Drosophila melanogaster: one gene and its partners. The protein of the gene in region 2 interacts with the protein of the main gene of each other region in a pairwise test. Each region holds a gene or a part of one and is shown on either strand. Other genes may lie near its edges. The genes, in order: Hsc20, IscU and Calr.

The links.
Region 1: the proteins of IscU (region 2) and Hsc20 interact in a two-hybrid assay, tested with the Drosophila melanogaster proteins (one large-scale study listed by BioGRID).
Region 3: the proteins of IscU (region 2) and Calr interact in a two-hybrid assay, tested with the Drosophila melanogaster proteins (one large-scale study listed by BioGRID).

What each region holds. Positions count from the first base shown.
Region 1 is NT_037436.4:16,231,540-16,234,735, forward strand, and holds Hsc20 (heat shock protein cognate 20), read left to right. Parts: upstream 1-1,587; 5' UTR 1,588-1,656; coding exon 1,657-1,878; intron 1,879-1,930; coding exon 1,931-2,043; intron 2,044-2,103; coding exon 2,104-2,491; 3' UTR 2,492-2,626; downstream 2,627-3,196. Other genes in the region: PDCD-5 (programmed cell death 5), read right to left, coding at 1-49, 301-363; MED10 (mediator complex subunit 10), read left to right, coding at 663-784, 841-1,120.
Region 2 is NT_033777.3:8,822,217-8,825,942, reverse strand, and holds IscU (Iron-sulfur cluster assembly enzyme), read left to right. Parts: upstream 1-1,765; 5' UTR 1,766-1,871; coding exon 1,872-1,958; intron 1,959-2,141; coding exon 2,142-2,519; 3' UTR 2,520-2,682; intron 2,683-2,873; 3' UTR 2,874-3,094; downstream 3,095-3,726. Other genes in the region: CG8379 (uncharacterized protein), read right to left, coding at 1-310, 535-991, 1,054-1,255, 1,335-1,388; CG8369 (uncharacterized protein), read right to left, coding at 3,161-3,219, 3,277-3,474. UniProt on the Drosophila melanogaster protein: Scaffold protein for the de novo synthesis of iron-sulfur (Fe-S) clusters within mitochondria, which is required for maturation of both mitochondrial and cytoplasmic [2Fe-2S] and [4Fe-4S] proteins.
Region 3 is NT_033777.3:9,628,115-9,632,704, forward strand, and holds Calr (calreticulin), read right to left. Parts: upstream 2,738-4,590; 5' UTR 2,652-2,737; coding exon 2,564-2,651; intron 2,440-2,563; coding exon 2,335-2,439; intron 2,327-2,334; exon of another isoform or gene 2,141-2,326; intron 2,067-2,140; coding exon 1,594-2,066; intron 1,502-1,593; coding exon 947-1,501; 3' UTR 577-946; downstream 1-576. Other genes in the region: CG8319 (uncharacterized protein), read left to right, coding at 1-496; SpdS (spermidine synthase), read left to right, coding at 3,607-3,740, 4,263-4,590. UniProt on the Drosophila melanogaster protein: Molecular calcium-binding chaperone promoting folding, oligomeric assembly and quality control in the ER via the calreticulin/calnexin cycle.

The DNA of each region.
Region 1 (3,196 bases), on a different chromosome or scaffold from region 2:
GCATCTGCTCCTGCTGGGCTTGTTGCTTTTCCGCATCATTGCCGCCGCCCTAAAAATAGGAAAAAAGGAGTTAAGGTCATTGAAGGATTGCCCTTTAAAGAAACAGGTGTCCCAGTCGAGAAGGATGACTCATAGGGAAGGTGTCTATAAGAACTAACAAAGCATACCATTGCTAATGTATTCTTAACATTTTTATTATATTTTATATAGTCTAATTTGCTTTCATTCCAAGTTATGACTATTTTTGGAATTCTCTAGAGGAATCTAGCCGGTTTGGAGCCACTCAAATATTTCACTTACGAATTGCGACTGCATTTGGGACATGCGCTGCGCGCGTAAGGCATCCAAATCACTATCCGACATTCTGGGTTCTTATTCTCAGTATATTTATGGCAGTAAATTAAGTAATTATTGCTTTTTTTGCTTCTATAAAAATAAATCACGCTCTTTGTAGCAAAAAAAGTGTGCGATTGAACAGTGTGACCTTGCTATTCCTTGCTTATTCGTAAATCCGAATGCTCAAAATTGCGTTTGAGTAGCCCTGGTCATTCGGTGTTTTCTAGAAGAAGAAGAGTTGCGAAGAAAAATAAAATATTTGCCAAGGAAAACAAACATATTAACGAAATACCCACAAAATAAGGAACGAATTTGAATCGTTAAAAATGTCTGCACCGCTAGAGAACCTTGAGACCCAGCTAGAGATGTTCATCGAGAATGTTCGTCAGATCCGCATAATCGTAAGCGATTTTCAGCCACAGGGTCAAAATGTACTCAACCAGAAAATGTAAGAAAATGCTAAAATTTATTTGATCAAATGTCTATAAATATGTGCACCATTAGTAACAGCTTGGTGACCGGCCTACAAGAGATCGACAAGCTGCGCTCCCAGGTGCAGGACGTCTATGTGCCATTTGAAGTGTTTTTTGACTACATCGACCAAGACAAGAATCCTCAGCTGTACACCAAGGATTGCGTGGAGAAGGCACTGGCCAAGAACGAGGAGGTCAAGGGCAAGATCGAGGGCCTGAAGAAGTTCAAAACGAATCTGCTGCTGGAGCTGTATAAAACATTTCCCAATGAGATGAACAACTACCGCGCTTATCGCAAGGACTCCATGTAAGGACGTGCTCGAAGGACACGCGACCTGAACTTTAGATTGTAAGCCACATGTTGGAATAAATTTATACTTCTGTACATAAAACTCTGTGTTTCACTATCCATTAAGACTATATGTTGGTATACTTTCCTGCTCTTTGTCTGATATTTTCTTATGTATATATATAAAATGTTACTTATTAAAGACATTAATTTGTATATTTTTACCTTCCTTTTCTTTTTGCTTATATTGAACCTCTATCCTATTTGAACTTTATTAAATTGAATTGTTTCTATGAATAAGTTATACTATATTTAATTACTTAATTTCAATTAACAATTTTTAAGGTCTTACATTTTAAATAGACCAATGACTATTTAAACGTCATAAATGTCAATATTTAATAGTTAAATGAAATAGTTTAAAAAGTTTTAAGCTCGATAGTCGCAAAGCAGTAGCGTTGCCACCTTAGTTTCATATCAGCTGTTTTTTGTTATTATCAGCTTGTGTAATTAAAGGCTTCGATTGTGTATATCATTCAGTTAAATTTATTGTAGAAAATGAGTAGAGTTATTAATGGCTTTAAAAGTGCTGTAAAAGCTACAAATTATACACCGCTTGTTAGAAATGCAGCACAATTTAATCAATTCCAGTTGCCAGAAATACGGAAATTTTCAGTTGAATCTTCGCCGGCTTGTTGGAATTGCCAAAAGAAATCGGAATTAAAGCAGAATATGATATGTTCGGACTGTGGACACTTGCAGGATGTTAACTCAGGAATAGTTAGTACTTATCTACATTTTATTTGGCTAATTTAACTTTTAGTTTCTGTAGAATTACTTTAAACTGCTCAGCTTTCCCATTCAATTTTCTTTGGAGTCCCAGAAGTTGACAAGAAGTTTTCGCCAGTTGCAGACCATTGTGCATCCCGATAAATATAGTAATAAGTGGGTATAGTCATAAGTGATAAAATCAGGAAGGCAACGATAAAATCCCCTTGTTTACAGAACCTCACGGGAGCAAACAAACTCCTCAGACTGGAGTTCCCTCATCAACAAGGCATATAAAACGCTTTCCACGCCCATAGATCGTGGTCAGTACCTTCTTCAACTGGAGGGCGAACAGATGCCGCAGGATAATAGCGCTCTTAACAAAGAGTTTCTCATGGCCATGATGGAGCGGAACGAGGAGGTGGAGGATGCGGAAGACACCCAAACGCTGGAGAATTTAAATATTCAGCTCATCAAGGAACTGGAGGAGATGGCCCGGAAGTTAAATGCCCTTTTCGATAGCAAAGATCTTTCGGGAGTCAAAGAAACCCTCGTAGAGATGAAGTACCTGCTGAGTATTCAGAACAGCATTAAACAGAAGCAACAAAGTTTGCTGGGCAGCTGAATTGGCATTAATCGACTTGGCAATCGGTTCTGATCGCACACACACACGTCCGCCTGTTGCTATCTATCAGCTGTTAAGTAAACAATAACACAGACTTCGTTTGTTTTATAATGTGAATAAAAATCGCGACTGAACAGTTATGATCGATGCAATTAGTTAATTATCCAATAGTGCCCGAATAAAACAGGTTTTTATCCAACTTTCGATGGAAGCCCCAGGAGTAATTCCCCTTCTCATTGAGCACCCTGTGCCACGGTCACAATACTTTGGAAAAAAAATATAATCAATTAATCGCAGTACTATCTGCTGGACTCAAGTCGCCAGGGGTACACCCCCCGAAGGCCCTAGAAATCACACATCGCAAACTCATGCCCACGCACACAGCCTGAGCCATTTGTATAGGTGAGGAAAATCGTCGCACCTTATATAAATTCAAATCGACTGTTGCCTCAGCGGACAGTTCCTATTAATTGGTCACCGAGGTTGGACTCACCTGTGCCCTTGCCAAGACTTCCCGTTGGGAAATACTTCTGGCAGCCGGAAAACTTGCGAATAATTAAAACAACAAGCTAAGAAAGAATTCCCTGAGAAAGCTAGCTTACCGACTTAGCGTGTTTTTAAAGAATTACCTGTGGAATAATCAATAGCTCATAACAAGGTACTTAGGAAACTGAAGATACCTCCAACCGAACCAAAGAAAAACGG
Region 2 (3,726 bases):
AGATAGATCCGGCACAGGTTGGGCCAGACTCAATGTGTTACTGGGCGAGGGCGGGGCACTGGACTCTGCCTGCGTGTGAGCCAGAGTTGTGATGAAGTTCCGATTCAGGTGCACTGCCTCGTAGAGGGCAAGTAGAAGGCCATTATTCGCCTTGATCTGCTGCACCCGTTCGCATCCTTCATCCGACACAAACATGTTGCCCACAATATTCGACAGCGACGAAAACCAGGAAGAGGATTGCACATTGTTAAGGCTCTGAATGTACTGGCGACAGAAATCAATTAGCGATTGCGATATCATTTGGCCATAGCTGGAATCAAGATAAAGTTCGGGTTACTATCGAAATAAGATATGCAAGCTCGTGGCAAGTTATCTGTTTGATGACGTCAGTCACCAACTGCTGCCACATAAAAGAACTTTGTGATTCAGTTTAAATATTTGATTACCCTCGATTATAAATTCTTTAAGCCAATTGCTTTCACATAAGTTGCCAGAAATATACATACATACATTACATTGACTAAATGGACTCACCCATTTAAAGCCAGCTCATCAGCGAGTATGGAGAGCTGCACCACATAGGGGTTAGTGGCTTCATGCTTGCGATAGTTGACCAGGATAGTAAGTAGGATAACGATGTCGTGTCCATGCTGGCTACGGAACGTAGGATCACTGAGTAGCCGAACAAAGGCGTCGAACATGCTGTGCATCATTAGATGCTCGAAGAGGGCGTTCTGGTTGACGTTATCCGTGCCCGTAACCAGAACCTGCAGCAGTTTGAGGCACATAAATCGAGCGTTTTCGGGCACATCGCCCAGGAGGATGCGATTGCAGTACTGCATGAGTAGCTTCAGCCATTCGTCCATCTTCTCATGGCCGAAGATCTCGTTTAGGATGTTTAATGTTGGTTCTGCGTTGGACTTCTTAAAGATCCCGTAGAACAGGGAGCACAGCGTGTGTAGGCTGTTGCACAGCCGCTTAGGATGATCTTCTGGGGGAAATCACGGATTATAGGTGGCTGGAGGTATATATTAATAGGTCAAACTGGTCTACCCGTGTCAAGCATTTCGATGCACCTCTGGAAGAGGGTGTTCAGGTTCGGTTTCACCAGCTGCAGCTGCTCGTTGTTGAGTTTGCCAATCTCATTCTCCAGCGCCTCGAAGTTCGGCTGCAGCAGGAAGAACTCGTTCCAAAATTCGGGACTCTCGCTGCTGGGATCCTCGCCCCGGCACAACAGCTCATATATATAGACCACCTGCAATAAATTCCAATTAGTCAAGCAAAGCACAAATCTTCGAGGGCGGAGCTCGTGAAATCCAGTGCTCCGGGCGAACCTTCTCCTTGGGCCGCTTGGTGGAGCCGCTGCCACTGCGCTTGCGAGAGGTCATGACTGGATGTGGATATTATTGACCTAGGGGACTAGTTTCAGAAACTCATAGTCTGCTGCTGTAAAAATATATCGGAAGTTGGCAGAATTTGTGGATGGGCAATAGTAAACTTTGTGATTGGGGAGTGACCATAGGAGTGAGTTTACAAAATACCTGGCAAGCTGCCAACTCAGAGTGTGATTTTAAATGCAAGAGGGTGCTTTATTCAAGCTTTTTTATGGCTCATTATTGATAAAAACAATTTATTACTTATAGTAAATAACTTATTATACTGAACTGTTTTTAAGGAGTAAATAATAATAATATAAGAAATCTTTTAAAAAATCGAAAACATATCGACAACGGCGTTAGCTGGTCTTTCACATCTGCCTTAAAACGGGCACACTGTCCATCAGCTGTTTCTAACACGCAGTTGCCTGTGTTTTTTCGATCTCTTTGAATTTCACAACAATTCTTCATTAAATTGATTTATTTAATTTAAATATGTCCCTGGTGCGAAACTCCTCCCGGTTGCTGCGATCGCAGCTGAAGCGCGTACAAAGTGTCCCGGTGGCATTGTATCATGAAAATGTAAGTTAGAACTCGCAATTGCCGCGCGGAAGGTTCTTTCGTAATATCTAGAAGCTGTATAATATAGATAAGAAACGACTTTGTTGTCGTTCTGAAAGACAGCGTTTCAGGCGGCACGCAAAGTGATAAGCGCGATAGCACAACCCCCTGGTGACTAACACACCTACCTATTTTCACCCACAGGTCGTTGAGCACTACGAAAACCCGCGCAACGTGGGATCTTTGGACAAGAAGGATGTCACTGTGGGCACCGGCTTGGTCGGAGCACCAGCCTGCGGCGATGTGATGAAACTGCAGATCAAGGTGGACGAGAACGGCAAGATAGTGGACGCCAAGTTCAAGACCTTCGGCTGTGGATCGGCCATTGCCAGCAGCTCCCTGGCCACCGAGTGGGTGAAGGGCAAGTCCATCGACGAGGCCGGAAAGCTGAAGAATACGGACATCGCCAAGGAGCTGCGTCTGCCGCCCGTCAAGCTGCATTGCTCCATGCTGGCCGAGGATGCCATCAAGGCGGCCCTGGCTGACTACAAGGTCAAGCAGCAGAAGAAGGTGGCCAACTGAGAGGCGGAACGGAATCTGTGAATGTAGTGGAGCGTTTCTCTGAACAACTACTAAAAAAAAAACAACTATAAGTACTCTACCATACAATACAATACCATATACTATATATTACTTGGCATTAGGTCGTAGTATGCGATTATTGTTCGCTAGAGCTCTGTGAGTGGTGAGTCAAATGGTATGGATACAGTGAATGGTGGTTAAGAGGAACTACATACATATTTTTTAATAATATGTATGACAATGCAAAATAATCCTCGTTTATTGCCTATTGGCTAGTTGCTCTTAACACACTTTTACTGAAATAATAACAATAATAATCATACCAACTGATTAATGCTTTGATTTTGATTGCAGATTGGCCGCGTGACTGCTGATAAGTGCATAGAAGTTTAGGAATCGTCTGTCATTGATACTAAAGGATAGCTGGAACTGATCTTGTATGAATGCATATGCACGTGTGTGTTTTGTAGGGGAATTCTAAGTAGTCCCGAGAGCTAATTAAATTTTCCGTTCTGTTATGCGAAATACAAGCTTGTGTCGAAAACAAATAAAGCGTTCCCGTTGGAATAAAAAATACATGAATATATTATTGCACAATCAGTGAAAGATGTTTAATCGTCAAAAGTGTTGAAATTGGACTTCTAGGACAGGCGAACGCTCACTCCACCGCCGCACTCGCCCTTGGACTTCTGCTCGAATGCTGCAAAAGGATTAAATCATATTTAATTCTGTAAGGATATTGTAGAGGATCTCTTACGATCGTCGGCATGCTGGCAGTTGTAGTTGGCCATGACGCACGGGCTGCCAAAGGTGAGGAGGCGCTCCTTGCTGCTGTTTTTGGCCTTGGCACAAACGGGCTCGTAGACTTCACCGCAGTTGTGCTGGCAACTGTTGGTGGCCGGCTTCTTGGTGTCCTTGGCCGGAGTAGCCAGGACGAATGCCAGCAAGCACAGTGCTAAATAAGTTTGGTCATGTTAAAATTCTTAAGCCCGCTCAATTATGTTTGTTTAAATGAAAACTAGATAAATATGTATTAGTACTTTATTTAATTTAATTGCATCACCGTTCGGAGCAAATTATATTTTTGTAGATCGGAATATAATTCTGTCCGTGAGATCATTCATTTGGGCTTTTGGTCTTAATGGATAGCCAATTATTTTTGCACTTTCCAATCATACAACAAATTGCTTCGTTTGATCCAAAATTG
Region 3 (4,590 bases), 810 kb from region 2:
CCTGGACAGCCACAAATGCAAGGATATGCAGGAGCGTTCGCCCTTTCAGTGCCCCCACTGTCAGCAGGCCTTTACTCGCGAACAAAACCTCAAGGCGCACCTGTTGATCCACGCGGAATCGAAACAGGGAAACGGACCCCACAAATGTTCATACTGCCAAACGGGATTCTTCAACAAGTCGGCCCTCAAGGTGCACATCCATGCGCACATGGGCGAACGGCCGCATGCCTGTCCCTTCTGCGTGTCCAACTTCCGTTCCAAGCAGGCCCTTAAGGTCCACATCCGCATACACACGGGCGAGAAGCCCTACCAATGCCCCCACTGCCCCAAGACTTTTTCGGACAACAATAACCTGGCGAAGCACCGACGACGCCACTCGGATGAACGGCCCTACAAGTGTTCCATCTGCCTGCAGGACTTCCGGGAGAAACATCATCTGAAGCGGCACTTTCTGGGCAAGCATCGGGATGGAGATCAAAAGCTAAAGCTAAAGTGATACCTTAAATTCTTGACCAAATACCACGGCTTACTCGAATAAATAAATTAGGATTCGGTTATGTTTATATCTCATTGTTTCTATAGTTCATATTGGGATTTAATTGAATTTAGGATTTATATTTTCGTAGAATTCGAACAGCACTTTGAAAACCATTTGGAGTGGCAACACCGTTTTTCTGTAAATCAAAATTCGATGTAGACACGACGATATAGACAGCGTTGCCATTCGGCCGTGATTTGTTCACGTGGCACCACCATTTTGATAAACAAGCTAAACAACCCTTAAATCGCTCGAAAAGAGCAATGGAAAAAAACAACAAGTTGTATGTTTATAAATTATAAGTCTTACAAATTGTAATTGTGGTTTCCGTTTGCTTAGAACATCAAAGCAGCTACCAACACACAAAAAATACCGAATATTTCTCGACGTAATTTTCCCTAGACGTCCTTACAATTCGTCGTGTTCGCTTTGATCTTTGTCTTGCTTAGATTCATCATCCTTCTCCTCATCGTCATCATCCTCGTCCTCATCGTCCTTGTCGGAAGCCTTTTTCGCCTCCTCCTCGTCCTTCTTGCGCTGCACCTCATCCTGGGCCTCCTTCATTTTCTTCTCGCCCGCCTGGGTGTTCTTGACTTCGGCAGCAGCCTTAGCGGCCAGCTCCACGTCGTCCGTGATCAGGACGTTGTCGAAGATAGTGCCGGACTTGACCTGCCAGAGATCGAAGCCCAGGGTGCAGATCTCCTTGCGCAGATACAGCTTGTCGTCGGGCACATACTCGGGATTGGCGATCTCGGGATGCTCCCAGGCGCCCTTGTAGTTGGGGTTGTCCAGCTGCTTTGGCTGCCACTCGCCCTTGAACTCAGGGTTGTCGATCATCGGTGGCTCCCACTCGCCGTCCATCTCATCGTCCCAATCCTCAGGCTTTGTGGCATCTGGGTCGGGAATGTGCTCTGGTTTGTCCCAGTCCTCGGGCTTCTTGTCATCGGGATCGGGAATGGTGGCCTACAGAGATTTACGTTGTTGTTTAATAACAATGAGCCAAACCGGTTTTTCGATGGGCTAAAGTCTGATTTGGGCGGGGATTTACAACTTACCCTATCGTCCCAGTCTTCGGGCTTGGTGGCGGTGGGATCCTTGATCTTCTTGGGGGCCAGGAAGTCCCAGTCGTCCTCCAGGTTGCCAGACTCCACCTTCTCGTTGTCGATGAGCACCTCGTACGTGTTGTCGGGTCTGACAATCAGCGTGTAGAAGTGGGTGTACACGTCATCTTTGCAGCGGATGTCTTTGCTGATTAGGTGGTTCTTGCCCTTGTAGCTGAAGATCACATGGACCTTCTTGGTGCCGGGTCCGCAGATGTCCGGGCCGAACATGATCTCGTACGGCGACTCGCCGTGCATGTCGGTCTGGTCGAGGGAGCAGTCGAACAGCTTCACATAGCCGCCGCCGCAGTCGATATTCTGCTCGTGCTTCACGGAGAACTGCACCACGAGGGGCTTGTCCTCGTTGGAGAAGCCATCAAACTTGCGGCTGGCCGCGTAGAATCGAGCATCCTGAGAGGTCTGAATGCCTATATAATGTGTGTCCACATCAATACGAATGCGCGCCGCGCGGAGGTGGGGGGCGAGAAAAAATGTGTATACAGTTACTATAGCTACTCGAAAACGTACACGTAGTGGTTTTTCTTCTTCTTCCTCTTCTTCTTCGTGCCCATGTTCTCCGCATACACGGGCACATACAAATGCAGATAACACGCCGACGAAAAATAAAAATGGCAGAACGAGCGAAGAGAAAGATTTGGAAAAGGGAGTGACGACACATCGACACATATACGCTACCTTTGTCGGCCTCAGCATCGTTGTAGAAGGTACCGGGGGTGAGGACGAATTTTCCGAACTCCTTGCCAGGATGTTTGCTGTAGATCCACGTATCCTCCCAGTTTTCTACGGGAACAAGCGGGGGAGTGCTTTTATTATTCTTCTATTTTTATTGTCTCTCCTTTCGTTATTCATTGAAGGGGAGCGGAGGACCACATGGCGGCCATAGAACGCGATGACTACCACTTACCGTTGTCGAAATTCTCCTTCAGATAAACCTCGGCACTAATAAAGCCGACTGTCGCCAGCAACACTATCACTGTTTTGCACCACATCATGTGAACGATCCCGCACCACTTTTTGGACTGACTCTTCCAACTCCGATGGTTGTCCGAACTCGGTTAAAGTTAAGTACTAAATGCCGGCAAGAAAGTGCTATTTATTTATTGCATCTAAATCGTGCGTGTCGGAGCGGGACGGCTTGTTACTGAAATTGGTTTGCTGGAACGTTTTCATTGGCCCAAATCAGGCCAATCAGGGATGTCTACGTATTCTTTTTCACCGGCCAGGGCTGATTTCGATAAGCAATCGCATGCTGCCCTGTCGCTATCGATTGCTTGAGCTGGAATTAGAAACACTAAAGTGACCGTTTGCTAATTAAATTAAATTATAAAATATATAAAATTAATATATTCTGGCATACAATTAATCACTTGCAGCAGGCTAAGCTAAGAAAACATAAAATTACTCCAATAACAATTCTTCTACTACTTAACAATTGTAGTAGTTACAGGAAGAACAGTTGTGCTTCCAGAACATTCCTAAGCTTTTTAACGGCTTAAGGGTTTTGAAAATTTTAACTCACACTTACATCACATGTTAACAATTAAGTTTTCACCCGATAAAGTTCATAGTATTTAAAAAGTTAGAATGTTAATTATACATTATAATACAAATCAAAAACAAATAAAGGAATTCCAAAACTTTGCACCTGTATTTCGTTAATTTTAGGAACTTTTTTATCTATAAGTGCTAACTTTTACATTTGACTTTATTACATTAAAAAATTACAATTTTCGCTGGAAATGTATTATATTAATAAAAAAGATAAATAGCCAGAAATAGAAAAGTGAAATTAAATTAATTAAAACAAAAAAGCTTTGGTATTTATACCAATAGACCTTCTAAGGTATTTTTTAAGACCTAGCTTTGTGGCAGATACGGTAAGTTCGTGTCGAGCCCACGTGTTGAGCCAATCTTATCAAACGCCGATTCGAATGCGGCATTAAACAAATGGATTCCCTTAACAACGGATGGTTCAGCGAACTGCAGGCCGATCTCTGGCCCGGTCAGTCATTCTCCCTGAAAGTCAAGGAGGTCATCCACAAGGAGAAGTCCCGGTTCCAAGACATCCAGATCGTTGAAACGTAAGATAAATAATAGATAAACAAATACTTGGACACACAACCCCATTTGTTTACATCCGAAATTCCTCAGTCTAGACTGAAGTTTGAAGATAGATGTCAAAATAAATTAGCTTAGATTGAGATTAAAAAACTAAATTAAAATCATTATAAACACGCAAGTCACACAAATCCGAAATTTTTAACAGCTTAAGCTGTTGAGATTTTAAGGACTAACCTACAATAGCCTAATCCCATATGTATCCTACATTGAAGGTCCCTAAATCATAGATTGTAGAAATCGAAAATTTTCCACTGGTTGTTCAAACACAAATTGCCCAGCCAGCATTTTCGGACCCTTTGGTTTTCGTGTGTTTATTCTTGATCTGCACCAACAGCCTTATCGATGGAGTCATCTAGGGCCAAAAACGACAGACAGAATACTGATAGCAAGTCAGCTCGTCTTTCAGGTTTGAGTTCCTCCAGTCGAACATTGGGTACACTTGCGCCGCTGAAAAAATCAATAATTCGATAATTCTATTACAGCGAAACCTATGGACGGTGCCTAATTCTGGACGGAATCATTCAGTGCACGGCCAGGGATGAGTTCTCGTACCAGGAGATGATATCTTTCCTGCCGCTCTGCGCCCATCCCAATCCCAAAAAGGTCCTGATCGTGGGCGGTGGCGATGGCGGCGTTGCTCGCGAGGTGGTAAAGCATCCACTGGTCGAGGAAGTGCATCAGGTGGAAATCGACGACCGTGTCGTCGAGCTGTCCAAGCAATATCTCCCAGCGATGGCCTGTGGTTTCGCCAACGAGAAGTTGAAGCTTACCATTGGCGATGGATTCGACTATATGAAGAAACACAAGAAC